Mus musculus: one gene and its partners. The protein of the gene in region 2 interacts with the protein of the main gene of each other region in a pairwise test. Links are inferred from orthologs where the notes say so. Each region holds a gene or a part of one and is shown on either strand. Other genes may lie near its edges.

Region 1 (4,556 bases), on a different chromosome or scaffold from region 2:
AAAAGCCACTCATAAAACTACTTTATAAGTACTTTTAATTACAAAACAAAGCACATGCCAATTATCCAATAATCTTTGTAACCTCTCATTTTCTCTGATTGACCAATTATGTATAGAACCTCTTCACTTTCTTTTTCATGTATCCTTCAAACCAGAGTTTAACAAGCCAGCACCCAGGTGTCTTTAGTCATCTGTTGCACACACTGCCTTATGAGCTTAGAATATAAACACTACAAAAATTTATATCCTTTCACTGCTGTACATCTATTAAAGAATTTTTGTGATTGTTGACTGTGTAAATAGGCACTTTACAAACAAAGCATTACTGGAAAAGACACAAGCCAAACATTACCAAGTTATCAGTACTTCTCAGCGTTTTGTAGAAAAAAAAAAGCCACACCCAGTTTTCAGGCTACCACGAATGAGTATCACTTTCGTTTTTCCTTAAGTTTTGTTTTCTAAAAAAGTGCTACCAAGTGTGGTGGCCCACACCCTTAATCCTAGCGTTTGGGGAGCAGCGGCAGGTTGATCTCTGTGAGGCTGAGGCCAGTCTAGTCTACAGTTCCAGGACAGGCAGAGATCACCCTCCCTCCCTCCTTTCACTCACTTACACACACACACACACACACACACACATCTTTAAAAAAAGGGCAGCTGTCTCCTTATGGCTCCCCTTCTTTGTAGTTAATAAACAATGCTAAATGAAGCTCCAAACATGACTCTTGAGTCATCTGTGTTGCTGACCAAATTTATAGACTATTTGTGAAAATTCTAGTAACTGGGAATTTGTCTAAGTTTGAGTAACAACTTAAGGTCATTATTTAAAATACTGGAAAAAGGCAAATACTTTTAAGTTTTTTTTCAAAATCACTGTTATGTGGCTTCCAAATAAAAACTCAAAATCGATTTTTTTTTTTTTTAGGGCTAGGGTATAGCTTATTGGTATACCATTCACGTGAAAATTCAAGAATATGGTTGATATGGCTACGACTCAAAAATGGAAACACACCCCAAGAGTGTAACTAAACACAATTTTAAAGGGTCAACAGGTGAATAAAAATTTTAAACTGGGTAAAAGCAATTTCATAAAGGTCCATGAAACTATAATTTTCGCCATAAGATGACATGCAGAATTGCCTTTCTGATCATTTCTCCTCCCAGGGACATTTGAAAAGGAGTGGCCAAAGTAGCAGGGGAACTGCGCAACAGCTTGGGATCAAGGACTGAAACTTGCCCTTTCCCAAAGCCTCTGGGAGCCAGGACCAGCGCCCCCGGTGGTGGGCAACTGGCCATCAGCAGCTTGGCACAGGCCACTTGTCCTACCACCTCCTGGTCGCCCCCACCTTTCCCTCCAAGGCCAAGGACAGAGACGTCCTCCTCCCCCTTCTCCTCCTCTTTGGTGCCTTCAGCCAGGAGGCGGGAGTGACCCGCAGCAGCTGACCCAGCTCGGGCACTGCCTCTCCGACAGCCCTCAGGACACACCATGGGCCTGGAGGCTGGTTGGTGGCACACGAGCGAGGACGCAGGCGGCGGCCCCGGCGACTCTCAACTGCCTCCCTGACCACTGCGACAACCTCCCCGAAGCCATCGCCACTACCCGCAGCGGAATCTATCTGCGGCCAATCTATCGCCACGAACCGACTACCAGCTACGTAAACAACTATGGCGGGAGAAAGGTGGCAGGCCGAGGGGCCCGGAGAAGGTTGGGCCATCTACGTCACACCCAGAGCCCCCATCCGGGAGGGAAGGCGGAGGCTCGACCCGCGAAATGGCGACAGCAGTGACGCGCCTGCGTACGGAGCTCACCCGTCGCGCCGCGGACGACGGGAAGTGAGGTTTTCAGAGGAGCCGGCAGAAGTGTACGGCGACTTCGAGCCCCGGGCGGCCAAAGAAAGGTCTCCGGGGGGGAGACGAACCCCGCCAGAAAAGTTCCGGCCGGCTTCTGCGGGAGAGGAAGTGAGAGAAAGCGCTTACAACCTTCGCTCTCGACCACGGAGGCAGCGGCGAGCCCAGGAAGCCGAGGAGATGAAGACGCGGAGGTCTGCTCGCCTTGAGCAGCACTCACAGCAGCCGCAGCTGTCTCCGGCCACGAGCGGCCGAGGGTTACGGGACTCTCCGTCCTCCAGTGAGGACCGCGAAGGTAACAGTCTCGGCTGCGGGCTCGGGAGCGCGCGCGGCGGCGGGCACGCGGCGGCAGGCGCGCCCCCGTGGAGGCCGGCCCCGCTCCGGCCCCGCCTGGGTCCTGGTGATTTCTGCGGCCCTTTGGGCGCGCACTCCCGGATTGAGTCCACCCGGACCCTCAAGAGGGAAGGACGCAGTGGGCCGCGCGGGAAGGTGGTGGTGCGAAGTGACCCGAGCGGAGGCGGGCAGCTCTGCCTAGTCCTGGAGCTTCAGTTTGGGGGGTCTAGGTCTCCTCTTTCTGTAGGCTTTTGCTAGAGGTCGGCGGCTAAGCCATTGTCGGAGCCCCAAACTACTCTGCGCTCGGTTTCATTTCCGTCCTCTGAAGTTTCTACTGAAGCCACTTCCATTTCCTTTTTTTTTTTTTTTTTTTTTTTTTTAAATCTCGGGGGCCCCAAGTCCCCAGCTGAAAATCCTGTTTTTAAGTTAACTTTCCAGTCGGTTTCTTTCGTTTTTTTTTTTTTTCACCAAGATTGGGAAAACGAGATCATTTCTAGGCGGATGCTACGAGGAGTAGCTGACTTTAATGAATGGGTTGGTGACATTACTCCAAATACAGAGTCTGGTCTCTGCCAGACTTTCCCCCCAGATTGGAGGCCATCACGGTAATCTTAAGTAGCTAAACAAGTCAAGACTGACAAACTACTGAAACAAAACAAGGTTCTATTTATTAGTAAAGCTTATATATGAAGCCCCAGATGCCAACAGGGTGTGTACTATAGTTTTAGTTAAGTCACACAGATGAACCAAATTCTTCAAGCCATCCTCTTATTCCCTGCACTCGGATATAACTGAGTCACAGGTGGTTCCAGTAAGCCCCATGTCAGTCACCTAATTATGAGGTAAAATTCTGAGGGTTAGAGTCACAGTGGGATGGCCTCCCTAATACATTTGATGCATCTGAACAGGAGTGGATTTAAAGCTTAGAGCACAGTAAACTGGCTTGCAGATTTACCTACTTGCCCTTAAAGTCCTGACACACTTGAAGATCTGTTCATTTGGGAAACTTTATGCTAGAGATGTGCATGCTCTTTTGGATGTAAGGAGACAGTTTATTTGCTTATACATGTCAGCATTTCTTTTAAGATGGCAAAGTTGGGAGAAAAAAAAAGGAACCTGTCACGCATGTATGCCTGGTCGAAATTTAGGTACTTGTGTTAATTCTGTCTCAGAAACTGAGACAGTGTTTGCACATGGGAGGCAATGTAACTGTTACTTTTTATTGACTTTCCCACAGAGCCTCCTGCACCTAAATTCAGTTTACCTTTTATACATTTTTAGAGGATTTAAACATTTCTTTTACCTGACTCTTGAACCTACCTTTTAATTTTTTATATTTTCTTTATTTACATTTCAAATGTTATCCCCTTTCCTCATTTCCCCTCCGAAAACTCCCCTATATCCCCCCCCCCCCCCAACCAATCCAATCCCTCTCCCTGGCCCTGGCATTCCCCTACACTGGGGCATAGAGCCTTCACAGGACCAAGGGCCTAACCTTTTAACTTGCTAAAGTAGCATTTTTGTCGTAAAGCAACAAGTAGTGGTTTGTATGTTGTTTCACTTCCATGGTTTGCAGCTGCACGTACCTGTGTGAGTATGTGCACGTGAGTACAGGTAGCCTTGGAAGCCAGAAGATGGTGTTGGGTCCCTTGGAGCTGAAGCTACAGAATATCGTAAGCCTTTTGGACTTCGGAAGTCCTCGGAAAGAGCAGCAAATGCCCGTAAACACTGAACTCTCCCCAGCCCTCATCATACTCTGTCTTAATAGGATTTCTAACTGGTTTAATTCCCAAGTTTTGAACCTAGAGAAGTTGAATACTTGCATCTCTCTGTATAGATTACTGGTAAATATGCATACTGTGTGCCATGGTCTCTCCCAGGTCATCTAACTTGAATTTTACCTCTTGTTGGTGCTGTAGAGGATGAACCTTCTTCCCGACCTGTTACAAGCCAAACAGCCTCAAAGAAAACTCTTAGAACACCAGAGGCTTCAGGTAAGAAGAGTTTGGTCTTTTGGTTTTCTCTTTTCCTGCCAAAGACTCATGAAGAATCACAGCTCAAGCTGGGCGTGGTGGCATATGACTGTAATCCCAGCACATGGGAGGCAGAGGCAGGCGGAACTCTAGGAGTTCAAGGCCAGCCTGGTCTACAAAGAGAGTTCCAGGATAGCTAGGGCTGTTACACAGAGAAACCCTGCCTGGAAAAAACGTACATCAATCAATCAGTCGGTCAATCACAAGAGGTTTGTGAGTCTTATCAGTTCACTAAATTCAGCCCTATGGGTACTTGCTAAACTAAACAAGGGCGAAAACAAAATGTAAGTTCAACTGTCTACCACTCTGTTAATCTTCAGAACCCCGCAGAGAGAGACGGGAAAC
Region 2 (4,559 bases):
GAAAACACTCATCAGGGTCCTGGGGTTGAGCCAGGCGTCTATTGGGCAGCCTCTTCCCCACACCCACCTGGAAGGAACACATGAGGGTCTCATCCACACTCATCATGGCACCAGCATTGTCAAACTCTCCACAGTAGTTGGGAGCTGAGAAGAGTGTCACCAACTGTCTCTTGGCAAAGAACTCATAGCCATCTTCTACAACCTGGGCCAGGGCAGGAACGGTTTAGTCTGTAAGTTAGGCACCCCACCCCCACCCCCAGCCCGCCCCAGGCCACCAGCCCACCTGATGTGCTCTGCAGATGAGGTCCAAATCATGCTTGTGCAGGAACTTGGCTACCACCTCAGCCCCAAAGGTAAAGGAGACACCACGGTCATTCTCGCCCCAGCCTTGAACATCCTTGTCAGGGTCAGACCACAGGAGATCACACAGTAGGCCCTGGTCAGGCACGTCTGTGGGCCGCATAATACGCCTAATCTGCTCCATGGATTGCAAGTCTGGAGACAGGCCTGGGGGTGGTGGAGTGGGAATAGTGTTCCTTAAACCAAGTGCTGTCCTGTGCCCAGCTCTGGGGTGGGACAGCTCCACTGTTCCCACCGCTAATCTGGGCTCCTTAAGTTCAGGGAGACAGAATCCATTACTTCCCCACTGGCCCCATTTCTCTGTGGCCTTGGCTGTCCTGGAACTCACTTTATATGACACCACCACTTAGAAGTACAGATAGCAGACCTCGGGGGTGGGGGGGCAGAAGGAGATTAATGAGTTGACTACAGGATGCCTCATGCCACAACAGGAAAGAGTGCAACCAAACTGGTGGGTGGAGCATGCCTTTAATCCCATCACTTGGGAGTCAGAGATAGGCAGGAGCTCTAGTGAGTTCAAGGCCAACCAGGTCTACAAAGTGAGTTCCAGGACTGTCAGGGTTTTACCCAGAAAGCCAGTCTCAAAAACAAACGGGGGTGTGGTAATCTCCCCTAATAAGCGATATCCAAGATGAGATTCAAGGAGCGCTATTCCAGGGAACTGAGAAGAGTTCTGTTAACTTTACAAGGCCCCTAAGGATGTGGCCCAAGAACCCAAGCACAGACCCACAACCACTCTCACCCCCGTGGCAGCAGAAGATCTTCTCATCCACAATGGCTGCAATGGGCAGGCAGTTGAAGCAGTCAGTGAACGTCTTCCACAGTTTGATGTTGTATCTTCTCTTGCCTGCGCAAAAGGAAGCGGCTCATAGGGAAGACTACACCCCCAACCCCCAACCCCAGTCTAGGTTTCTGTGCACCCATCCAGGGACAAAGCTGAGAAAAAAAGACCGAAAAGCAAAGAAAGCTTACATTCTTCTCTTTGCTCTACCCTCATCTACCTTCCAGAATTCCAACACCTGAACTCGTCTGGCCCAACCATGATGGTGGTACCCACTCTGGTCCCATGGATGAGGCCAAACCAGGAGTGGGTCTGTTTTATTCATACAGGCATCCTAAATGTTTACTAAGGAATGTACTAGAAGGGGGTGTCATCAGGCAGGGCTGTGGCTTTAGCAAATGGGCAGCCCTGCATGTACATCCATTCACCAGGCCCCTCCTGAGCGCCAAGGACGACAGACGTGTTGCTGGGGCCCTACAGGGCTCATCATTGGGGGTCTTTTGGCACTAGACCAATGTAGGGGGCCCATGAAGAGCAGGGAATGTAGTTCTGGGCAGACAGCAACATTCAAAGCACTTACATTCATCATAGAAGCCATAAATGCGGTTGATGCTGGCACACTCATGGTTCCCACGAAGTAGAAAGAAATTCTCCGGGTATCTGATCTTATAGGCCAGCAACAGGCAGATGGTCTCCAAAGACTGCTTGCCCCGATCTACATAATCCCCCAAGAAGAGGTAGTTGCTCTCTGGAGGGAAGCCACCATACTCAAACAGCCGTAGAAGGTCATAGTACTGGCCATGGATGTCACCTGGGAACCAGAGAAAACTAGGTAGGTGCAAGATGTAAACTTGACCCCAGGGCCAGCAATAGGTTAAAGGGTGGAGGAACACGGTTAATGGGGCACGAGTAGGGGCTATTTTCAGGAAGCAAAAGGGTTCTGTGCAAGGATTTACCACAGATCTTGAGGGGCGCCTCAAGCTCCAGAAGAATGGGCTGGCTCAGGAAAATCTCCCGGGATTTGAGGCACAGACCACGGATCTCGTTCTCTGTCAGCTGCACGTTCTTCCCAGGCCGTGAGCCCTGCACTGAGTACGGAATAGGGTCTTGGGACCCTGACCTCGCAGACCGGACGAGGGTAGGTGTCGCGCCCCCCTAACAGGGGCAACTGTTGCAAGTGAGCCCCCACCCCCTCACCCCGAAACCTTTGCGTCAGGCCTTCAAAGGCAAGATCCGACCCCTTAGCCACCCGGAGGGCCTCCAGAGAAACGCCTGTGCTCAGCAGCCTGTCAGCCGAAGCTTCCTCGCTTCGGGATCCCTTCCCAGCTAGCTTCGCAGGAGCCTCACCCTGAGTCCCGGGCACTCGTGCACCCCCGGCCTCTGAGCGCGCTCCAAAGCCCAGGCGCCCGCGGGGGGGGGGGGTGCCGTGGCCATGGATCCTCACGGCCTGTCCCCGCCCAAGCGACGCTAGCCCCCGGGAGCGGCGGGCCGCCCGCGCGCCACTTCCAGACGGCGAGGGGCCCGGGCTCGGCGCGAGCGCACCTTCCCTACCCCTGCCCACCTTCCAGCAGGCGCCCGATGATGGAGTCCAGGTTGAGCTTCTCGCTGTCGGACATGGCGGCGCCGCCGCTCCGGCCCACCAGCTCCGGGCCCTCTCCTGCCTCCCGCCCTCTTACAGCCTCCTTCCGGCCTGGCTCTCCTTCCGCCCTCCCCAGCCCGCCCCCGGCCCGCCGCCCCTCCTCTTCGGTCGACCGCCCCGCCCCGCCCTGCCGCGTCCGTAGTTCCCCGCTCTCTAGCGCCTCCCCTGGACGGGAAGCTCCGCAGCCCGAGAGGGCCTCGGGCGAGCGGGCGGGGCTGGCAGGGGTGGTGAGCCGGGGTTCGGTAGGGCGGGGTTAGGTCGGCTCCACCCTGGAGGAATCGCCCTGCCGCGTTCAGATGAGTTAGGGCCGGAAGTACTGTAGGAATTGTTTTTCTCTTTCCAAGTCTCTCCCACCCCAGCCCTGCGTGGGACTGTGGTATGAGCATGTTAATCGCTGACTTCTCAAACACTAAATAAATTCCTCGAAGTGCAGAAAAAGAAACTAAGGCTTAATGATACTGAGAGTGGGCTCCAGACCTCCGGAGCCTCACATTCACCTCCATCTTTATGGCCAGACCCATGAACACCTGCTACTGAACTCTAAGCAGTGTTTTGGTCCAGGTTGCCTTGGTGCCTGCTACGTCCATTTTTTTTCCATAAGTGATGTAATACGTTGTATCTCGTTCATGTTGTAAGTCCTTTGTAGAGTACTTGGACTTGTCTAGCATGTGCAAGGCCTGAGGTTCCAGCTCCGGCTCTGGAAGGAACATTAAAGTAGGCTTGGTGTCGTAAACCTATAATTCCAGTGCCTGAAATTCCTGCACTCAGGAGTCTGGACACAGGAGGATCAGAAGTTCAGGGTCATCTCCTGTCTGGGCTACATAAGACCCTGTTCTCACACTACCCCTTCACTCTCAAAACAAAACAAAACAAAAAACCCGGGGCAGGGGGTTGGAGGGGTGGGATGACATTAAAGGATAATTATTATTGGAACCATAAATTGGTTTTACTTGGTAAAACTGAAGGTGGCCTGTCATCTTCAATTTGGGCCAGCCAGGGAATCAATACACCCAGCATCCTCTGGATGGGAGGAGGTCGTGGCTCTGGCACTAGGGCAAGCAGGAAGAACCTCACAGAGGAAGGGGGGAGTCCCCCCACCAGGGAGGGGCCCCCAGCAAGCTGCTGAGCTGAGACTGAGGAGGAAGTGAGAAGAAGAGGTGAGGTGCAGCAAGGAGGTGAGCCGGGCTGCTGGGGTAGGGGCCAGGCTTGGGGCTGGGGCTCTGCACAGAGACTTGGTCTCAGGGTCTACCCGACTCCCCAGCAAAAGAGGGGGCTTAGTCCCCTGTGACTGAGGACTGGTGGCTGGAATCCCCAGCCTGAGTCTGGCTGTTCACACTGGCTCTCTGTATGTCTTGCAGCCTGTGACACTGGGGTCCAGGGCAGAATGGCCCAGGCCCTGGGAGAGGACTTGTTATCAGAACTACAGGATGATTCTAGCTCCCTAGGGTCTGACTCAGAGCTGAGTGGGCCCAGTCCATATCGCCAGGCTGACCGTTATGGCTTCATTGGGGGCAACTCAGGTGAACTGAGGTGAGTGAGGCATGGGTAGGGGAGAGAGTAGGGTCCAGAGACTGAGGACACTAGCCCAAAACTCAGCTGCTGGTGTCACTGCTCGGTTCCGCGTGGTGGGGTGGGGGTGGGGGTGGGGTGTGCTTTATCTCTTTATCCTCTGACGATCTGTACCTTCCCCTAAAGCTGAACATCCTTTCCCTTTTAACCTCTGGTCCAAGAACCCCAGATGGAAATTTGGATGTCTTCTCTTCTCCAGGTTTCCCTTAC
Region 3 (3,948 bases), on a different chromosome or scaffold from region 2:
TCCTGTGTAGGGTGGGGATGAACAGGTTCTCCACATCACTATCTTCTATAGCTCTTGACCCAAGCACATGGGTAGTAGTTTCATCCAGAGAGGGACCTTCCCCAGGGCTCAGGAAGCAGGAAGCTGAGCAGAGGATGCAAGACTGTTGGGATGACAGTGGGCCTGTGCTGGTTTATAAAGAGTAGCAAGAGGAAGCTGGTGGTGGATCAGGAGAAAATAGAGCTGTCAATGGATGCTCACAGATGAGCAACTGCAGAGAGGACAGGGCTCTGGAAGGCTGGCCTTTCCTGGAAGTCCCATCTTCCTGACTCTACTTTCTCTCCTAGATTTGTATGCCAGGGATAGGGCATCAATTACCCACACAGAAAAATCACAGCTGTTGGCACAAGGGTCTCGATGTACCAGATGTTAGTGTAGATGTCACCCCTGCCTTTTGATGAAGCTGTTACTCCTGCTTCTCTTGATTTTGAGACATAGTTTCATGGTGTAGCCTAGCCTGGCTCGAAACCTGGGATCCCTTGAGACAGCAGGTGAGCACAAGCACGCATAGCCTCATTGTCCCTTCCTTTAAAACCTTGAACTAGTCCTGTACAAGGGCATTACCACTGATGTGGGTCACTATCAGGAAGTCACTACAAGTAAGATGTACACAGAGGTTTAGTTAAAGCCAAGCCAACGTGCACACCAAGCTTCTCTGACTCTAGAATCTATCAAGATGGCATGCTTAGCCGGGCAGTGGTGGTGCATGCCTTTAATCCCAGCACTTGGGAGGCAGAGGCAGGCTGATTTCTGAGTTCGAGGCCAGCCTGGTCTACAGAGTGAGTTCCAGGACAGTCAGGGCTACACAGAGAAACCATGTCTCGAAAAACAAAAACAAACAAACAAAAAATAAACAAAAAACCCCAAACCCAAACAAAAAAATATGGCATGCTTGCAAGTGTGAGGGGTCCAGGCTACTGAATGAGGAGGGACGTGGTCACCTGTGCCTGAAGTGACTTCCTGACTCCCTATTTCTCATGGTCTCTTGTTCACTGAATGTGAAGGTAATTAAGTCCACACATGGAGGATCAGTGTCTTCCCACCATCAAGACAAGATACCATTTGTCCCCAGTCTTGTTCTCTCTTAACCATGCTATGGCAGCCTCCTCTAATTATTCCATTTTGCCTTCGAACCAGCCAATATACCGTCTGCATCCACTGCGGAAGAAGCAGACGCTGGCAGCCTCCTGCCCACCACTGATGAGCCCTCTCAAGCCTTAGCTGGGTCTGACTCCCTGGACAGTCCTCCCAGATCCCTGGAGAGATCTGTGAGCCAGCTCCCCAGCCCTCCACTGCTGCCCACCCCGCCACCCAAGGCCAGCTCTAAAGCCACAAAAAATGTCACAGGTGAGTCTGCTTGTCCTCCCATCCATCCACCCATCCACCAATCCACCCATTTATCCATTCATCGATCTACCTATTCATCCATCCATCCATTCATCTGTCCATCTGTCTGTCCACCTGTCTGTCTGTCTGTCCATCCATATCTTCAAACCATCATGCCTACACCAGCTCCAGGCTGACTCTTGTCATTGCCTCAGCACCCTGTCCCTGCAGGCCACAAAAAGAGTTCCCAGAAGGCCATAGTTGTTGACTGCAGACTGCTTGGACACTCTTTGACAGAAGGGAGGGTCCTGCAACAGTCAGAGGAGAAATCTTCTAGACTCTGAATCCAGAGTATATAGCCAGCCCTCAGGGTGGCACTTTCTCTGCTAACACATGGTTGTCTGTAGTGTTTCTGCTGCTCCCATGAATGCCCCGGAATGCCCATTTTCTCCTTCACAACAGCTCCATCTATGCATCAGGGAAGAGCCAGGAGTCGGCACTGGCCCTTCCTGTGGCAACACAGTTGGGCAAAAAAAAAAAAACCCATTGTCATCAACCACTGTGCTATCCTCACCTTCTCACCGCAGCCCTGGCCTCACAGGGGACTCGCTGCAGAGTCAACATTTACTCATCAAGCCTTCAGGGCCAGGCACCTCTGTCTCACAGGGAGGCAGGCTATCACCGGCTAATTTTTAGAGCGCATTCCCACATGCTCCCTTGGAAGTAGTGGACACTAGAGAGCAAAGCCCAGCTCAGTGTAGCCGCTTACTCTGTGGACAGGCACTACACATGCGGGTCTACTTTTTTTGACTACTTTATTAGGTTCTTATATCCACTACCCTTCCAATCTTTATCCCACCCTAATCCCTTCCAACCCCCCAACACCAGGTAGGAGAGAAAATAGATTAGAGGGGAAAGAGGTGTAGACCCCTAGACCTCTTTAGACTACTTCCTGCTGATTAGGGGTGTTAGGTTTCTTGGGGGCAAGACCAATCTTGGTCATCAGGATATCTTCAACTTCTTTTCTTGTCTCTTGGCTTACAACCGCTTAACAAACCACAACAGCGACCACCAGCAGCAGGGAGAGCAGCAGCTGCCACAGGCTCTCTCAGGTCTCTCGTGGGGCTAGCAACAGTATCATTGTCTTACACTGATGTCACTTAATAGCTGTGAAGAGACATCATGACCACAGCAATGCTTATAAAATAAAGCTTTTATCTGAGGGCCTGTTCATAGAGTCCGAGGCTTAGTCCTTAGTTATCATGGCAGAGGCGTGATGGCAGGCAAGCAGGCAGCTTGAGAGCTTACTTATATCCTTATGCTGAACCTGGTGTGAGCTTTTTAAACCTCAATGGCCACACCTCCTAGTCCTTCCCACACAGTTCTGCTAAGTAGGGATTGTGCCTGCAAATATTTGAACCCAGGGAGGGCTATTCTCATTAAAATCACTACATATACTTGCCTCATCCTGGTTTGCACAGGAGAGTGCTTGACAGGCTGGTGTGTCAGCCGCTGGCACAAGGAAGATGAGAGGGCTCAGGAGGATGACTGTTCCTCCTTACTCTTCAGGAGAGGTCACTCTGCCCTCACCCTGATTCTAGATGTCTGGCCGCTGGGGTAGAGTGAGCTGTCCTGTTGTTTGAAGCCACCAGGTTGTTGCTCTAGGCCCTGTCTCCAAAGGCCCTTGGTCTCTGCATTCGCAATCAGATGCAGGTGCAGTCATTGTACCAGACACGCAGTGGGTGTAGGCAGTTGACTAAGGTGATGAATGAAGAATCAGAACTCTGCTCTCTACATCGCTGGAAATGAGTTGCTGACTGGGATGACCACAGAGTGAAAAATTTGAGGCAAACCAATACCCTTTAGTGTTTGGTTTCTATGTTTGCAATAACTCCCCTTTCCCAATTTTGACATCTGAAGTATTTCAGAATCACTTGATGGAACACCACATGCCTCCCCCCCTTTCCCCTACAGAAAGCACCACAGGTCTGATAGTCTGTAGACTCTGTTTCCTTTCCACTTGAGAGACTCCCACTGCAGGCTGTGAACATTTGCCTCACTAACTGCCTTATCCACTCCCTCTGGGTCCCCAGGATCTGTCCACAGCCAGTCTGTCCACACCTGTCATCTCACCCTTGTCTCCATGGAAGGGACTCAGAGGCATCAGGGTCCTGAGTGGTCTAAATAGGAAGGTGGCCATGAGCTCAGGACTTCTGTCTGGAACCTAAGTGGCCTTTGGTGTCCAGTCTTTTCCTTTGCTTCCTGGGACATGTTGTTTCCACTCGTGAACACTAGGTGACAGACTCAGACAGCGTTCCTGTCTTGTGCTTGTCTCCTTGGTACTGGGGAGGTGGATGAGGTACATCCTAGCCTGACACCAGGACCCGAGGTCTGCATCTACCTGAGTTACAATGGCAGAGTAACCTGTCAGCAACAGGTTTATCTCTCACAGTCCTAGAGGCTGTAAGTTCTGGGTTGGGCTACTGCCAACCCACTTGAAGTTTGGCAAGGGCCTGCTTCTGGATTTGTAGGGTAGATTTCTGGCCCCATACATTTGTGTTGTATGTGTGTTCACATGATTGC
Region 4 (4,521 bases), on a different chromosome or scaffold from region 2:
TAGGCAGTGGTAAACAATGGAGGATTGTAAAGAAGAACGAGAGCAGAATATTAGCTAGTGTTTGTGTTCCTACCCTCTCTGCCTGGGGATACAGCCCCTCACCCAGCGGTTAGATGATCCTCTCGGCTTCACCCCAAAAGGAACTGAAGCCCGAAGTAACTTATTTGCATACTCGGACCTCCTGCTACTATGAAAAAAACGACTCATTGCTAATTACGTTTTCCTAAAGCTTTTAGGATTAAGAAACCAGTTACTGCCAGACACAAGTAATAAGATGTTGTGGGGGCGTAAACAGTAAAAACTCTTGGTTTCAGGGAAGAAAGAGCTTGTTCCTTGCTCAACAAGTCATGAGGATCAGCTGACCCTCCCCCAGGGCAGCAAGATTCTCCTCCTTAGTGTAACCACTACGCTCTGTGATAGCCACTTGGTCTTTGCATTGTGGATTAAAATGAGAATAAGAAAGTGAACTAAAGACCAGGCATGGTGGTGCATGCCTTTAATCTCTTTGCTGGAGAGGAAGAGACAGAACTAATAAGTTCAAGGCCAGCCTGGTCTACATCGCCAGTTCCAAACAGTCAGGGCTCTGTAGAGAGACCCGGCCTCAAATAAACAAATAAATAGATAAGTAAGAAAAGAAAAAAATAAAAATAAAAAAGGAAGAAAGAAACCAAACTAGTAAGAGATAAATCAGCCAGTACTTGGTTGGAAGGCCGAGGCAGAAAGATTGTGGTTAGTTTGAGGCCAGCCTGAGCTTCATAGTAAAATCTGTTTCAAACAAACAAAATCCTCCCCTTATTACAGTAATTAAAATTAATCAGCCAATATTTTTCAGAGGACAAAAGTCACCAATGTGTTATCCTTCGCCGGATGCTCTACTCTGTGGCTCTTGTTACTGAGGAAATAAGTGAATTGAACGCGCTGTTTCTGAGTTAGTTAACAGTTATCTTCCCACCTGTGACTTCAGCTTGCTAGTAACACCGCGTTTTTCTTTCTGAGGGGTATTTTGTCAAATGGACCCTGAAAGATGTCCAAATTAGATCACAGGCAATGCTAGAGACTTAGAAATCCTAAAGCAGAGGGGACAGGAATGTGTGAGTGATTCAGTTTCACTATGATTCACTAGGGATGATGTGTGTCTTAGCACCAGGCGAGTTGGTTATACAGCACTGCCTACATCGTTTCACTCCAGTCTTCCTACGCCCTTAATAGGAGAAGACCGATACACGTGTCAGATAAGCGGATAATTTGCCTAGCAATCGGATCCATAAAAAAGGGCTCGGGAGAATTCTCGGGTTCTCTTGAAACCCACTCACCTCCCCAGCCATTCCCTTTGACCTAGAGGGTGGGGCGCGGAGTCTCCTAGGAGACCAGAATGAACTGACTGCGCAAGCGTACATCCTAGGTCCGGCTGATGCAACTCGCCGCGTGCGAGCCCCGCTCTACCCCGAGTAAGGAAGCCGACAGGGACCACAGACGCGGCCAATCAGAGGCCACGCACGAGGGTGAGGCAAGTCCGCCTCTCGGGAGGCAAGGGTGGGGGTTCGGCGAATGACGTGAGGCGCCGCTGGGCGGTAGGGAGTAGACGCCCTCGGTCCTCCGTCTCGCCCTGCAGCTTCCGGGTGTGCGGCTGCGGCCATTTTGAGCTTCGCTTCTTTGCGCCCTCGCCTGCCACCCAGCCACCCTTTCCGCCTTGGCGTTTCGCGCCTCCGTGCGGGCCACCGGAAACGCCGCCGTCGTCTCCGTCGCCGCCGCGCGAGGGAGGGTCTTCTCTATGGTGGAGCGATCTCACACGGCCTAGGACGTCTCCTTCCCTAGCCGGGATGGACCTAACCGCGGTCGCCACCGCTTGCGCGGGCCTCTGGGCCGTCCGGTGCAGCACTCGTTGCGGAAGCCGCCGCTCTCTGGGCCTCCTCTGCCGGCGCGGGAATCGGACTGCAGTACCCACTCCGTGGCTGGGCAAGGCGGAGACTGTGTAGACCTCGGATCCAGCCTGCGCTGACGCCGCTGAGCTCTGTCCTCCTCCTGTCTGAGAAGCCGCCAAGGAAAGGAGATGGAGACAGGAACGCACAGGGCCCGGAAGCGGCCTGGCCCTCGGCTGGGCTCCTGGTTCCGGCTGCCCTTCCTTCGGCGATCGCACGCCTGCTCTTCGGAGTTCCCGCCGCCTTCCTCTCGACAAAATCCCGGGAACTCCGCTCTGCCCGAGCGTCGGACCAGGTACTGGACCAAATTGCTTTCTCAGCTCCTTGCCCTGCTCCCTAGCCTATTCCAGAAGCTGCTGCTTTGGAGCCAGCTTTTCGGGGGCCTGATTCCTACCAGATGGCTAGATTTTGCCGCAAGTTACAGCGCCCTGAGAGCTTTGAGAGGACGGGAGGAATCTGCCGCTCCCACGGTGCAGAAGTCTCTGAGTTCACTGCGGCTGGACTCTTCGGAAGACTTGGTTGTCAGTTCTCTTGATTGGCTAGAGGAGGGACTCCAGTGGCAGTGCTCGTCCTCAGACCTGGAGTTAAAACTCAAGGCCCAGGAAAGAGCTTTAGACTCTGCAGCGCCCACTTTCCTCCTGGAGCAGCAGCTGTGGGGAGTGGAGTTGCTGCCCAGTAGCCTTCAAGCTGGTCTAGTCTCCCACCGAGAACTTGACTCTTCATCCTCTGGGCCTCTGAGCGTTCAGAGCTTAGGTAATTTCAAGGTAGTTTCCTATCTCCTGAACCCTTCCTACCTGGACTACCTTCCCCAGTTAGGGCTGCGCTGTCAGAGCAGCGCTGGAGGTGGCCAGTTTGTGGGTTTCCGAACACTAACCCCAGAGAGCTGCTATCTTTCTGAAGATGGTTGTCACCCTCAGCCGTTGCGGGCAGAGATGTCGGCAACCGCCTGGAGAAGGTGTCCGCCTCTCTCTACAGAAGGCCTGCCGGAAATCCACCACCTTCGTATGAAACGGCTAGAATTCCTCCAGGCTAACAAAGGGCAAGAGTTACCCACCCCTGACCAAGATAATGGCTATCATAGCCTGGAGGAGGAACATAACCTTCTCCGGATGGACCCACAACATTGCACAGATAACCCAGCACAGGCGGTGTCCCCTGCTGCAGACAGGCCGGAGCCCACTGAGAAAAAACCAGAATTGGTGATTCAAGAAGTTTCACAGAGCCCCCAGGGAAGCAGTCTGTTTTGTGAATTACCCGTGGAAAAAGAATGTGAAGAGGACCACACTAATGCAACTGACCTCTCAGATAGAGGAGAGAGCCTTCCTGTTTCTACCAGACCAGTTTGTAGCAACAAACTGATAGATTATATTTTGGGAGGCGCCCCCAGTGACTTGGAAGCCAGCTCTGATTCTGAAAGTGAGGATTGGGGCGAGGAACCTGAGGACGATGGCTTTGATAGCGATGGCTCCCTGTCTGAATCAGACGTGGAACAGGACTCGGAAGGCCTTCACCTTTGGAACTCTTTCCACAGTGTAGATCCTTACAACCCCCAAAACTTTACAGCCACGATTCAGACGGCTGCCAGAATTGCCCCCAGAGACCCATCAGATTCAGGGACATCCTGGTCTGGCAGCTGTGGTGTAGGGAGCTGTCAGGAGGGACCCCTTCCGGAGACCCCCGACCATAGTTCCGGGGAGGAAGATGACTGGGAACCGAGTGCAGATGAAGCAGAGAATCTTAAATTGTGGAACTCTTTCTGTCATTCTGAGGACCCCTACAACCTTTTAAATTTTAAGGCTCCTTTTCAACCGTCAGGGAAGAATTGGAAAGGCCGTCAGGACTCAAAGGCCTCTTCTGAGGCTACAGTGGCCTTCTCTGGCCATCATACCTTACTTTCTTGTAAGGCCCAGCTGTTAGAGAGCCAAGAAGATAATTGTCCAGGCTGTGGGCTGGGTGAGGCTCTTGCTGGAGAAAGATACACCCATATCAAGAGAAAAAAGGTTTGTTCCCTTTTACATGACTAATAACTTGCTCTATTTTGATATGGTTACTATAGCAGCATGACTTTGCCTCTGGAGGCACAGTTGTGCACATTTTTGAGGAAGGCATCTGAGCTGGTGTTCTTGAATTGAGAAATACTCCAGTGTGATCCTTCTTCCCAATATAGAGAAATGTTCTTCTCCAAATGAAAGGTGCCAGTATTAGATGTTAGCAGGGGTGTCATTTTGGTTGGTGGAACCTGAAAGTTAGAAATGGTTTTGCATGTGTTTTATTTGAAAGTATATAATGTTTTATTTTCATGGCTACAGTGTCCTTATTCCTATCCATTGGAATCCAGAGGAATAACACTAGCAAGCAGCAAATTAGGTTTGTTCAGTTGTTTGCCCTGAAAGTGGTACTGTGGTGTGTGCCTGTAATTCCAGTACTTTAGAAGCAGGTGGGTGTTCTGGAGTTTTGGAGTCTAGCCTGGTCTACCTAGTGAGTTCCAGACTAGCTAAAGATACATGAGCAGGACCTTATCTCAAAAAGGGGGTGGGGGTGGGGCATACACCTGGCTTTCCTGCAGTCAGTTGTGTTCCCAGCTGTCCGGAACCTCCAGCCC
Region 5 (3,948 bases), on a different chromosome or scaffold from region 2:
CTAAGCAAGTGGCACAAGGAAATGCTAGAGATCCATTCCTTCTTGCTTCTAACCTGCCATTCGCAGCATCATGGCTTGAAGAGGAGTCAGCTCCTTCATGTTTTTCTTCTTCTTCCTTGATTTCCCAGGCATATCAGCAAATCTGACGCTTAGACCTAAACAGTCAAGAAAGGATGAAACGGGAAAGAATCATCAAATGTTGTAAAAATGGTCACCATAGAGCAGACGCTGTAAGTACTATGAATGACTGTAACCCATTACACGATACAAGGCAGATGTACAGGGACATTACAGGAAATCAGCGTTGTGCTAATTGGTTGCTTATGAAATATACTGCATTAACTTAAAACTTAATGTTCAGAAAATGTTAGGATACTTAAGAAGTATATAAACTGAATTAGATAATTCAATTTTAAGCCCTAAACATAAAAGCTGAAACGGTAAAGATGTATCTTAAAGCAACAATTTTCTTTAGCAATTCAGCAAAACAGTAAGTCACAGAAAAGATGAAAGCTGACCAACTCAGGAAACCAGCATACCCTATTAACCAACATAAAATATAACACAACTGAGTCTGACAGTGCTGGGTAAGGAAAATCGATCATAGCATGCAGGGTGCACCAAAAGTACCCAATGGTTTACACTAGAAAATTAGTAATCTAATCATGACAAAAGGCCCCATAAAAGGTGGGAAAATCTTAGTAATACTCTAACAGGTGATTAAAGATTATGATCGGTCCCCAACACCACTTCCACTACAGAATCTTTCAGTAACCCTGACAGATACTGCACTTCTGATCTGGTGTCTGACATCTTAGCCAACACTTAAGGAAGGGAATATTTATTTCTATGTGGGTTCAGCTTTAGTGTATCTTGGACTTTTACTGCCCAGAAAAATGCCTGGCTATGGTAAAGGCAGTAGCAGATGAGAGGACGTGCAGCTGGGCCAGCCATCTGAGGTCCACACACACTGGGGAACACAACGTTCAGTAGGAAGCAGCAGGTGGACTTCAGTCAGTTCAAGGCCAGTCAGTAAGTCCTGTGCTAGCCAAGGCTACACAGAAGACCCTGTCCCAGCGCCACCCCCCAGGACCTCAGCAGCAGCTGGCAGCCGCAGAGTAGAGAGAGGATGCAGTCTTACAGGGGAGTCCTGCACTTGGAGTTCTACCCCACTCTCCTTTCTAAGACCAGTTCCAACTTATGAGTCTTCTATAATTTTCCAAGATCAGGCTTGCTCCTACACCAATTTATGATAGTTTTTTGATAAGCTTTTCTTTCATTCGTAATCATGATTAAGGAGCACTAATGCATTCCAGAGGGCTCTGGACAACCCAGCTCTGAGGGATCTAGTGCCGTGTAGTCTCCAAGGCACACGCAAGTGTAGGAGGCACACAGACACACACAATTAAAAAAAAAAGAGAGTCACTTGCTGATCTTATAAATAAAACCACAGTATACAGATGCCGTCCTGGAGACTACAGCTACAGCCCCTAAGAAGCTCCCCGGCTACTAGGCTCTGACACACTCAGTGTGTGCTTGGCACTGCTTAGTACCCAAACACAGTGCTTAAAATTTTTGTGACAAAACGTAACATACAGTGTGCACACAATTGAGGACACAGCAGAACTGAATATATTTAATATACATCAAGTCTTAGGCTTACTCCCCAGCACTACACACACACACACACACACACACACACACATCTTTCTGAACGGTGCTTCACAGCTGACCCTTGGAGAACGGTTTGTTTACATGCAGGCCAAGTGCGCTACACAGGTGCTTTCCCAACCAGTGACCAGCTTTGAAGGAACAGGCGTATGGTTCTAAATACAAATACAGTGCAGACATATAGAAAAATACACTTTTATACATATACATAGTATATAATTATACATGTTAATGTAATGTGTGTATAGACACATATATGTATATAAAATATTTAATATATAATATACACACACATATATTATATATAAAATTACAAGTATATATGAATTACAAAGGTCACCCAGTTTATGAAAGGCCCCATGAAGAACAGAAAACCCAGCTCCCAGTGTAGACACGCACACAAGCTTATTTAAAACCATGCATGTTCTTCCTTTCCTACTGCACGTTCATCATAGAGTATATTAGCAATTTTTGCCTCAAAGTGGAATTTCTTGCATAACTTTTAAAAAACTACATATACTTACTCTTTCCTCACAAACACCTGTAAGAATAATATGTCAAAACCTTTCAAACTATCAAGACAAATAAATGGCCAGGTACGGTGGCTTATATTTATTTCTAACTCCACAACTTGGGAGGCTGAAGCAGGAGGGTCACCATGAGCTCGAGGCCAGCCTAATTAACAGTGATAGACACCCGTCTCAAAACCAAGCCAAACCAAACTGGAGCTAAAAGCTGGTCCTGAACTGGTGAGCTGGCTCACCAAACCTAATCACCCAAGCTGCATCCCCACCCCCTGTGCAGTGGATCGGGAAAACCAACTGGGACTGCCACATAGATGCTCTAGCACGCATGTACACTCGGGCGCGCACACACTGAACCTAATTAACAAAAGCCAGGGCTTTCAGCACCGGGGTCAGCGGTGTTCATCTACGCCCGGCACATTAACCCGCACACACCTGACTTCTTCTCCTCAGTGTTGTCGCGCTCACTGTCCTCGCGGTGCCCGAACTCATCCCCGTCACTCTCTGCATCTGACCTGTCAGTGTCACTGTCCTCAGTACTGTCATCATGCTTATCCTGATCCATGTCCTCAGGATAGCCGTCGTCTTCACTGGTGCTGGACATGTCATCGTCATGACCCCGCTGAGCTGATGACAGAAAGAGCACGAGAGTCACATGACACGGTTGGCCCTCTGGTATCCAAAAATAGGCATGCCATTTTGGCTCAACATTACTTGCAAAACATTTCTATATGCAATGCCAGCTACCATGTATTATGATGACATTTGCGTTGGGTAATAGTTTTAAATACTTTTTTGTTTTCTTGTAAGAAGTGCAAACACACTGTATTAGAAACAATTGTGTAAAGTCTCACACACAGTCAGTGACTCTTGTCAGCGCTGATGAAACTGAGAAGACCTCTTCCTGTCTTATGGGAACTGCAGCAACATTCTATCTAAGGTGCTTTCATCAGGCAGATGTGCTAAATTATCCACAGGGACACACAGCAGAAGAGCACAGCATCCTCATGGCGTTCCTGTGTTCTCCGTGTAGCAAACGTTAACTATGGTCAGCATGGAAGCAATACTGAGAAGGGCACGGGAGGAAACCCCTGCCCCTGCCTACCAAGCTCTGGACTATACAGCATGTCCTCATCTCGCCTCCGAGGGGGAAGATCTAGAGCGAAGCCCACTTTCCGGCCGTACATCTGCAGAACCTGAGGAGGAGGGGGGCCAGGTGGAGGGCCGGGCGGTTTTCTGCCAGGGGGCAAGCGGGGAACACCATGTCCCAGGAGAGGAAGGATAGACACGGCCCGAGCTGGAGGCCTGTGGAGGGGGAGAAGGACAGTGGCGCTGAGTGGCAGGAACCTTCTCCAGGCTCTCATGTCCCGTCCGCTCAGCCACAGCACCCCGTGCTGCTGCTGTGCTAGCCGGGCCTGCTCCTGCAGTCCACCCTCCATTATGTAAGGCTTCCTTACCCATACGCTGAGGTTTTCTTCAGGATGGAGGGGGGCTGTGCACCAGGAAGAGGAATGTCCTGGATCAAGATGTTGGAAGGAGCATGCGGCATGTCTGGCAAAGGGATGCTCTCTACTTCCACATGCTGAGCATTCTGAAACATACAGAAACCCAGTTGTATGGTGCTGAGCCATTCAACTCCTAGGACCAAAGTCTTCGGAATTTGTTTCCCAACTAACACTAAGACCATGAAAAGTGGCTCAAAGCCTCAAGCCAACACTTCTGAATTGAAAGAATATTAGTTTTTCTTAAAGAA
Region 6 (3,565 bases), on a different chromosome or scaffold from region 2:
TGCTTGAATCTTCCTAGCTGAATCCGATCAGCCGGCTAGACTGATCTGACACTGCCAGTACATCGGGGTTTGAGTAAGAGATCCTTGTAGCTGTGGAGCACAGTGTGTACCCCTCCCCCACAGACAGCACCCCACTCTCTGGGAGAGCTAAATCTCTCTCTCTCTCACACCGTCTTTCTGTACTTATAGTTTTCAGTGGCTGGAGTTCCGGAGTCAGGGGCAGGCGTGCCTCTCACAGCGGATGCCATCGATGACGCCTCTGTAGAGGAGGACTTGGCAGTGGCCGTGGCAAATGGCCGCCTGGAGGAAGCCAATTTCCTCCAGCCCCATCCACCTCGGCAGCGACGGGCTCTCCTTCGGGCTTCCGGCGTTCGAAGGATTGACCGAGAGGAGAAGCGGGAGCTGCAGGTGCTGCGCCAGTCCCGGGAGGATTGTGGTTGTCACTGTGATGGCGTCTGTGACCCTGAGACCTGCAGTTGCAGCTTGGCCGGCATTAAGTGCCAGGTGCGTGGTCGGACTGGGTAAGATAAGGGGGGTGTGCCTATAATCCCAGTACTCGGGCAGGGCTACACAGGGAAGCCCTGTCTGTGGGGAGCCGGGCCTGCTGGCTTCTTGCATCTCCGAAGTTCTCACTTTGGCTTTGTCTTTCTCTGCAGATGGATCACACGTCCTTCCCCTGTGGCTGCTGCAGGGAGGGCTGCGAGAACCCCAATGGTCGAGTGGAATTCAATCAGACAAGAGTTCAGACGCACTTCATTCACACCCTCACCCGCCTGCAGATGGAGCAGGGTGCCGAGAGCTTGGGGGACCTGGAGTCCCCCGTGGAGGACACTCCTGTTGAACAAGCCGCGCTTTCCCCCTTTCCGCCTTCCAAGCCCCCTGTGAGCAGTGAACTGGGGGACAGCAGTTGCAGCAGCGATATGACAGACTCTTCCACGACCTTGTCCTCTGGCAGCAGCGAGCCTCCAAACCACCCTGCCCACCCCAGCCTGCCAGGTCCCAGCTTCCGGTCTGGCGTAGATGAAGACAGCCTGGAACAGATCCTGAATTTCAGTGACTCTGACCTCGGAATTGAGGAGGAGGAGGAGGAGGGAGGGGGTGTGGGCAACTTGGATAACCTCAGCTGCTTCCATCTGGCTGACATCTTTGGTACCGGTGACCCCGGCAGCCTGGCCAGCTGGACTCACAGCCAGTCTGGCTCTAGCCTCGCATCGGGCATCCTAGATGAGAATGCCAACCTGGACGCCAGTTGCTTCCTGAACAGCGGACTTGGAGGGCTGAGAGAAGGTAGCCTCCCTGGCAGTTCTGGGTCCCCTGAGGGGGACGCCGTCCAGAGCAGCTCCTGGGACCTCAGCTTATCCTCCTGTGACTCCTTTGAGCTTCTCCAGGCTCTGCCAGATTATAGTCTGGGACCTCACTATACTTCCCGAAGGGTGTCGGGCAGCCCGGATAGCCTTGAGACCTTCCACCCATTGCCCAGCTTCTCTCCACCACGGGATGCGAGCACTTGCTTCCTGGAGTCTCTCGTGGGCCTGTCTGAGCCGGTTACAGAAGTCCTGGCACCCCTTCTGGAGAGCCAGTTTGAGGATGCTGCCTTGGCACCTTTGTTGGAGCCTGTGCCAGTGTAAGGATTAAGGTGCCTTCTTCCTGCCCTGAGACCCTGTTGCTGCTCTTTGTGATCTTGGGGTTCCCCGAGGTCTATGTATGTAACGGTCTCCTACGGGCTGGTCCTGCTCATGGTGCCATGTGGGCACCCTCTATTTTTACATTAACACTCTGAATTTATTTATTTTTTTATGTTTTTCTGTACTGAAGAAGGGAGGGTGGGGAGGGTACCCCTCTTTCAATGCCTGGTCTCTTTATGTCCAAACAGAGGTCTTCCACCTCCTACTGTATGCCTGAAGGAGGAAGGGGCGGGGCTCTCCTGGAGCCTCGCAGTCCCTCTTTCTGTACTGTAAGATGCTCCTTGCTCCAAAGACAGCGACGGCTGAGCGCAGGGCCTTAGGGGCTTCTGTGAACCATAGGAGCTAGGTCTTCTGGACTGTGAAGATGTAATTTATATCTGTAATTTATTTGGGGATGGAGACGGCAGTGGTGGAGCCTCTCTGGCGGGTGGGCAGGCAGTGTTGGGGCCGAGGCTTCGGTGTACCCTGCCAGTCTGGGCTTCGGTGTGGTGTGTGGGTTCGAGTTTATGGCTGCTCTATTAAACAGCGGCCTGGCTCAACTGAGCAGACAGAGGCTGTGCTTGACCAGCGGTGACCAAAACCCCTTCTGCCCCCTTCCCAGAAACTCTACTTGCCCTCTTTCCAATTCCCTCTCCCCAAGGCCATGGATTATAAAGCCCCTCTGTAAGATGGTGAGCCAGGGGCCCTAAGAGGGCATGAAGCACACCCTGATCACTGTCTCAGGCCTTTCTGGGCACTGACTCGACCCTGGCCCACCTCACGCCCCCAGGCCAGTTGGCAACTGGTGGCTCTTGAGAGCTCTTACGCCCTTCATTAGCTGATGTTGGATTTTATATGCATTTTTTTATTGTCTCTAAGTGTCAGAACTATAATTTATTCATTTCTTTGTGTGTGTGTGTGTGCCAAGAAACGCAGGCTCTGGGCCTGCCTCCTTGCCCAGGAGGCCTTGCCAGCCTGTGTGCTTGTGGGAACACACTGTACCTGAGCTGACAGGTACCAATAAAGATGCTCTATTTTTAAGTGTGGTCTTCTTGGTGAGGTGGGGAGTGTGGGGTACCCCCAGGAAGCATGTGGGGTGGGGCACTATCATGTAGCATGGACAGAAGCTGTACTGAGGCAGGAGGACAGCATGTTGGGCTTTCTTCCAGGCGGGCCAGTCAGGCTGTAGGCAGAGAGCCAGCTGAGGTTGGCTGGGCAAGTGGAACAGTTTTTTTTTTTTCCCCTCTGAATTAACCCATTCCTCCATGATGCCATCTGGAGTTGTAAGGAGGCAGAGCTGTCTGCTCAGGCCCAGGGAGGGCAGCCTAGCCTAGTGGAGGCCTGGCCTGGTGACAGGCTGCTCAGGCAGCTGTAGTCCCTGGGGACTTGAGCTCCAGAACTGTCTCTACCTGCCAGACCTGCCAGACCTGTCCTGAGGCAGCCAGAATAGGGTTTAAGGTCAGGGGTGCAGAGCAGGCTGCCGTACCCCGTTTTGGGGAACCTCTGTCTGGAGCCTGACTGCTAGTGATTTGCACAGGCCCTCTGGAGAATGACCACAGGAGAGCCTTCCTGTGCTAAAGCCCCTCTACTGTATTCTACCCAGAAGAATGGATGCAGTCCCAGCTCTCGCTGCCTAGTGAGGCATAGGTTATGTAGATTGCCTGCCTAGAGCCTGGATCTCTCCAATCCCATGCAAGCGATTGCTGCTCCTCTCAAACTGGCTTGGTTCATGTGCCTTGAGTGCCTGGGTCATGATTCTGTTTTTATGTTTGTGACCTGCTTTTGACCTGCTTTTTCTGGATGTGACCTCATGGCAACACCAGTGACCACCAGGGGGCCGAGGACTTGGCGGGCTGCCTGTAGTTGGGCATGAGTACCTGTGACTGGATAAAGTGCCCTGC
Region 7 (3,542 bases), on a different chromosome or scaffold from region 2:
GCTGGAAAGGGGCTGGATTATTCAGGAATCTCCAAAGATAGGGACTGGTCAACAAACCAGGGCTACAGAGGGCTGGCTCAGAGCTGGTCTGGTGGTGACTGTCTTTCGTAGCTACCATCTCCCTAGCCCTGAGGCATGTCACTCCCATCTTTAGGATAAGGCAGAAGTTGCTAATTGGTGGTGACTCATGGGTGCCTGCTACCGCCCCTAGCAGAACTCTAAGGTCAGCCTCAGAGAATTAGTAGCTGGGGGCCAGTTGGCTCCAAGAGTGCAGGAATCCTTAGAAGCTGTTGGCTCCCCCCAGGGCTCACTCTGGTCTCCTCCAACCCAGGGCTGCTCTTTTCTCACAGTTGCAGAGTCTGGAGCAGGAGAAAGGGCGCTGGCGGGTAGAGAAGGCCCAGCTGGAGCAGAGCGTGGAGGAGAATAAGGAGCGGATGGAGAAGCTAGAGGGCTACTGGGGTGAGGCCCAGAGCCTGTGCCAGGCTGTGGATGAGCACCTGCGGGAGACCCAGGCCCAGTATCAGGCCCTGGAGCGCAAGTACAGCAAGGCCAAGCGTCTCATCAAGGACTACCAGCAAAAGTATGTGTCAAGAGCGTTGGGTCTAGGCCCAGGCAGGTGGAGGGGCCTTTAGTGGTAGTCCCCACCCCAGCCTTCCTCCCGCTGAGGAGGGAGACAGTGGACACAGAGTTAGAGGGCACCACGATGGGGTACCAGACTCAGCCCTATGGGCCTTGGGAAAGCCTGCTTCTCTCTGGACCAAAGCCACACCATTCACCCGAACCCACCATCTGTTCCTTGCCTGTCTCCAGGGAGATCGAGTTCCTGAAAAAAGAGACAGCCCAGCGTCGGGTACTGGAAGAGTCGGAGCTAGCCAGGAAGGAGGAAATGGACAAACTTCTGGACAAGGTAGCGCCCTGGGCAGCCTACAGAGTGAGCAGCATGGAAGCTGGAATCCAGTACTCACTTAATCCATGGTGTTTGGGAAGGATTGTGGTGCTGGCTGGGAGCTCAGGGTCGTAGCTTAGGGTGGGGGTAAAGTTACAGGGCCCGTGCTGAGTGGCCAGGCCTGATGCCTCCTCTCTTTGTTCTCTAGATCTCAGAACTGGAAGGAAACCTGCAGACACTGAGGAACTCCAATTCTACTTAACAGGAATAACTCCTTGGCCGGACAATAATAATCCCCTCCCATTATCCTCACCCCCTGTCCTCAATCCCCACCCCACCCCTACCAGCCTGGGGACAGGTGCCCCGACTTCCCCTACTCCTCCACCCCACCTCCCCCAGCTTCAGGGACCAGAGGGCCCATATTACAGGCCCCTTTAGGGTGGCCAGGGCAGACAATGCTGGCTGGAAGAGTGGTCTCCTTGCCCTGTGGGGCTGAGGCGCAGAGGCCGAGAGAAGCTAAGAGCTGGCCTGGGTGGTGGATGGACACGAGGACCTGCAGACCAAACTGCCAGACTTTATAACCTCCAGCCTGTGTCTCTGGACCGGAGTGGAGCTGGGGCTCTCCCAGCATCTCACCACTTGGAGGCTGCTCCCTGCCCACAGGGTCCGTATGGCCCCTGGGCCTCTTGACTTGAGATTCTCCGTTCTTGGCCCTTTCCTCTTCCCCCATCATTGTGCTGTCTGTTGCATTCTGGCCTCCTGCTTGGAGGGGTTGCCTCAACATCTCCCACCCCTGCTCCCCATCCCAGGAGGGATAGAGCCCACCCTTGAGCCAGAGGCTGGGCCTGGGCCTGCACTGATTTGTATCCTTCAGGGGGAGGTGATTGGGCGTCGGGGGAAGGGTCAGTCCAGCACACCTGGGGTCCAGCACCCCTTTCCTAGGAAGGGCAACAGCCCTCAACTTCTCCTTGTGCCTCCCCTCTCCCAGGTGCCAAACAGCCATAGGCGTCCTCCTGGAACTGCCCTGAGGCCACTCTGGGCTTCTGGTTTCCTTGGTCTAGCCCAGGAATGCCAGGAGGGAGGGAGGTCAGCTTAGATGGTGTGCCTGCAGAGCTCTCCCTGGGGAGCTAGGCCCTGCCTAGGGCCACACCTGGAGGCCTTGTATTACCATCGAGGAGACTCTGCCTCCCCTCTTCCCCTCCCCCGCTGTTTTCCAACGTTTTCACTGGAGGGCAAAATTTTACTAATCTTTTTGGAGACCAGGGCTGCTTGCTGTCAGCCTGCTTTCTAAGTGAAATTGACTCAGTTTCCCCACTTTAACCCCAAATTGGGGCTTGGACCAAGGGAGGTGAGACCCCCTCAGGTACCCTCCCCTTTCAGAATCCATCTCTTGCCACTTCCACATTACCACCCTTGCCCTAAGCCTAAATTTCTGTTCCTTTTTTTCTTCTTTTGAAAACGACCCAGTTCTATCCTTTTCGGTTTCTCCGAGTCCCCTGTAAATAGACCATGCCATCAATCAGTATTTCTTGCCCGTCTCTTCCGTCCCTAGACGTGCCCCCGACTCCCCGGAAAGAGCTGGCTGTCACTGTGCCCGGCCCCTGCACTTCACCCAGGCAGATGGAGGGGGTGGAGCCGGGTGGGCGGGTCCTCGATGTACTTCCGGTTTTGACCGGCAGCGCTCCTGCCCCGCCCTTGGAGGACCCCGTCTCTGTATATAATATATATATGTATGTATTGTTCCTGGTTTTGTACGGACCATGCCCTCTGTCAGGTCGTCCCCATAAAAGCAGCCCCCAGAGCCTCGTCGCCTGGTTTCTTGATGCGCTGGAGTGGGGAGGGGAAGAGATGCTAGAAAGTCCTCTCCTTTTACTAATTTTGCACATGATCTAGAGAGGATCTTAATGCTGGTTCGGTTCTCCGACCCCAGCAAACTCACTTGCCACCACTCCCTAGTTTTCTTGAGCTCTCTAGACGATGTCTTTAGGTCTGTTTTTCACGAGGTCTTTAGAGTAGCCAGGGATGGGCTGCACACAGGGAAAGCAACTCCCCTTCCCTGAAAACCGAGCAATCTGCAAGACCCCAGAGGTCTCAAAGTACCAGGAGGACCAAAGATTCCCTAGGAGATAAGTTGTCAGAGCATTGTCCTCACGGTCAAAGAGAATGTTCTTTGGCCCTCCTGAGCTGGCTTGAGAGGCCTCATATAGTCCTAGCTGCCCCCTTAGCTAGCTCTCAGTTCCAGGAATCAGTTTTGGTGAGTCGCAGAAGTGAATTGTAATGAGACTTCTGCAGTACACAACACAGCCATTTCTTGTACAGATCCTTGGGAGGCAAATATGTTCAGTAGCTTGGGGTGGGGTTGGGGGGTGATTCTCATCTTTCCTTCTGTGATAAGCAAAAGGCCCCGTCTCCAGGCTCTTTGGTCACTTTGGTTAGCCCCTGATAATATCAGATATGAGTGAGTTCTCTATATATGAATGCCACTAAGCCCCTGGGGGAGCCACTCCCTAGCAGCTAGTTCCATTGCAGAGCTTGTTCCTGTCAGGCCAAATAATAGCTTCCTGTTAATCTACCCTCAAAACCGGTTCTGCACCTCGGAGGCCATGCAGGACCTGTCCAGCTCTGACACCTACTTTCAGGTCATCAGAAAACTAGC

What was found.
Region 1: the proteins of Ppp1ca (region 2) and Tor1aip1 interact in a two-hybrid assay, tested with the Homo sapiens proteins (2 studies listed by BioGRID and IntAct). The link is inferred for Mus musculus from reciprocal best matches to the Homo sapiens genes PPP1CA and TOR1AIP1.
Region 3: the proteins of Ppp1ca (region 2) and Phactr3 interact in a two-hybrid assay, tested with the Homo sapiens proteins (2 studies listed by BioGRID and IntAct). The link is inferred for Mus musculus from reciprocal best matches to the Homo sapiens genes PPP1CA and PHACTR3.
Region 4: the proteins of Ppp1ca (region 2) and Ppp1r15b interact in binary tests that used the Homo sapiens proteins (3 or more experiments, as listed by UniProt). The link is inferred for Mus musculus from reciprocal best matches to the Homo sapiens genes PPP1CA and PPP1R15B.
Region 5: the proteins of Ppp1ca (region 2) and Wbp11 interact in binary tests that used the Homo sapiens proteins (3 or more experiments, as listed by UniProt). The link is inferred for Mus musculus from reciprocal best matches to the Homo sapiens genes PPP1CA and WBP11.
Region 6: the proteins of Ppp1ca (region 2) and Csrnp1 interact in binary tests that used the Homo sapiens proteins (3 or more experiments, as listed by UniProt). The link is inferred for Mus musculus from reciprocal best matches to the Homo sapiens genes PPP1CA and CSRNP1.
Region 7: the proteins of Ppp1ca (region 2) and Ppp1r9b interact in binary tests that used the Homo sapiens proteins (3 or more experiments, as listed by UniProt). The link is inferred for Mus musculus from reciprocal best matches to the Homo sapiens genes PPP1CA and PPP1R9B.

What each region holds. Positions count from the first base shown.
Region 1 is NC_000067.6:156,033,342-156,037,897, reverse strand, and holds the start of Tor1aip1 (torsin-1A-interacting protein 1), read left to right. Parts: upstream 1-1,417; 5' UTR 1,418-1,662; coding exon 1,663-2,140; exon of another isoform or gene 2,141-2,234; intron 2,235-2,690; exon of another isoform or gene 2,691-2,708; coding exon of another isoform or gene 2,709-2,712; intron 2,713-3,080; exon of another isoform or gene 3,081-3,217; intron 3,218-4,097; coding exon 4,098-4,172; intron 4,173-4,556. UniProt on the Homo sapiens protein: Required for nuclear membrane integrity. Induces TOR1A and TOR1B ATPase activity and is required for their location on the nuclear membrane. Binds to A- and B-type lamins. Possible role in membrane attachment and assembly of the nuclear lamina.
Region 2 is NC_000085.6:4,190,415-4,194,973, reverse strand, and holds the start of Ppp1ca (serine/threonine-protein phosphatase PP1-alpha catalytic subunit), read right to left. Parts: upstream 2,801-4,559; 5' UTR 2,758-2,800; coding exon 2,703-2,757; intron 2,230-2,702; coding exon 2,098-2,229; intron 1,953-2,097; coding exon 1,722-1,952; intron 1,208-1,721; coding exon 1,103-1,207; intron 508-1,102; coding exon 284-507; intron 203-283; coding exon 68-202; intron 1-67. Other genes in the region: Tbc1d10c (carabin), read left to right, coding at 4,165-4,310. UniProt on the Homo sapiens protein: Protein phosphatase that associates with over 200 regulatory proteins to form highly specific holoenzymes which dephosphorylate hundreds of biological targets.
Region 3 is NC_000068.7:178,277,721-178,281,668, forward strand, and holds part of Phactr3 (phosphatase and actin regulator 3), read left to right. Parts: intron 1-1,176; coding exon 1,177-1,386; intron 1,387-3,948.
Region 4 is NC_000067.6:133,129,697-133,134,217, forward strand, and holds the start of Ppp1r15b (protein phosphatase 1 regulatory subunit 15B), read left to right. Parts: upstream 1-1,469; 5' UTR 1,470-2,050; coding exon 2,051-3,919; intron 3,920-4,521. UniProt on the Homo sapiens protein: Maintains low levels of EIF2S1 phosphorylation in unstressed cells by promoting its dephosphorylation by PP1.
Region 5 is NC_000072.6:136,817,877-136,821,824, forward strand, and holds part of Wbp11 (WW domain-binding protein 11), read right to left. Parts: intron 3,787-3,948; coding exon 3,653-3,786; intron 3,501-3,652; coding exon 3,301-3,500; intron 2,823-3,300; coding exon 2,631-2,822; intron 156-2,630; coding exon 54-155; intron 1-53. UniProt on the Homo sapiens protein: Activates pre-mRNA splicing. May inhibit PP1 phosphatase activity.
Region 6 is NC_000075.6:119,970,303-119,973,867, reverse strand, and holds the end of Csrnp1 (cysteine/serine-rich nuclear protein 1), read left to right. Parts: intron 1-189; coding exon 190-504; intron 505-656; coding exon 657-1,628; 3' UTR 1,629-2,705; downstream 2,706-3,565. UniProt on the Homo sapiens protein: Binds to the consensus sequence 5'-AGAGTG-3' and has transcriptional activator activity. May have a tumor-suppressor function. May play a role in apoptosis.
Region 7 is NC_000077.6:95,004,211-95,007,752, forward strand, and holds the end of Ppp1r9b (neurabin-2), read left to right. Parts: intron 1-350; coding exon 351-580; intron 581-810; coding exon 811-907; intron 908-1,094; coding exon 1,095-1,148; 3' UTR 1,149-2,688; downstream 2,689-3,542. UniProt on the Homo sapiens protein: Seems to act as a scaffold protein in multiple signaling pathways. Modulates excitatory synaptic transmission and dendritic spine morphology. Binds to actin filaments (F-actin) and shows cross-linking activity. Binds along the sides of the F-actin.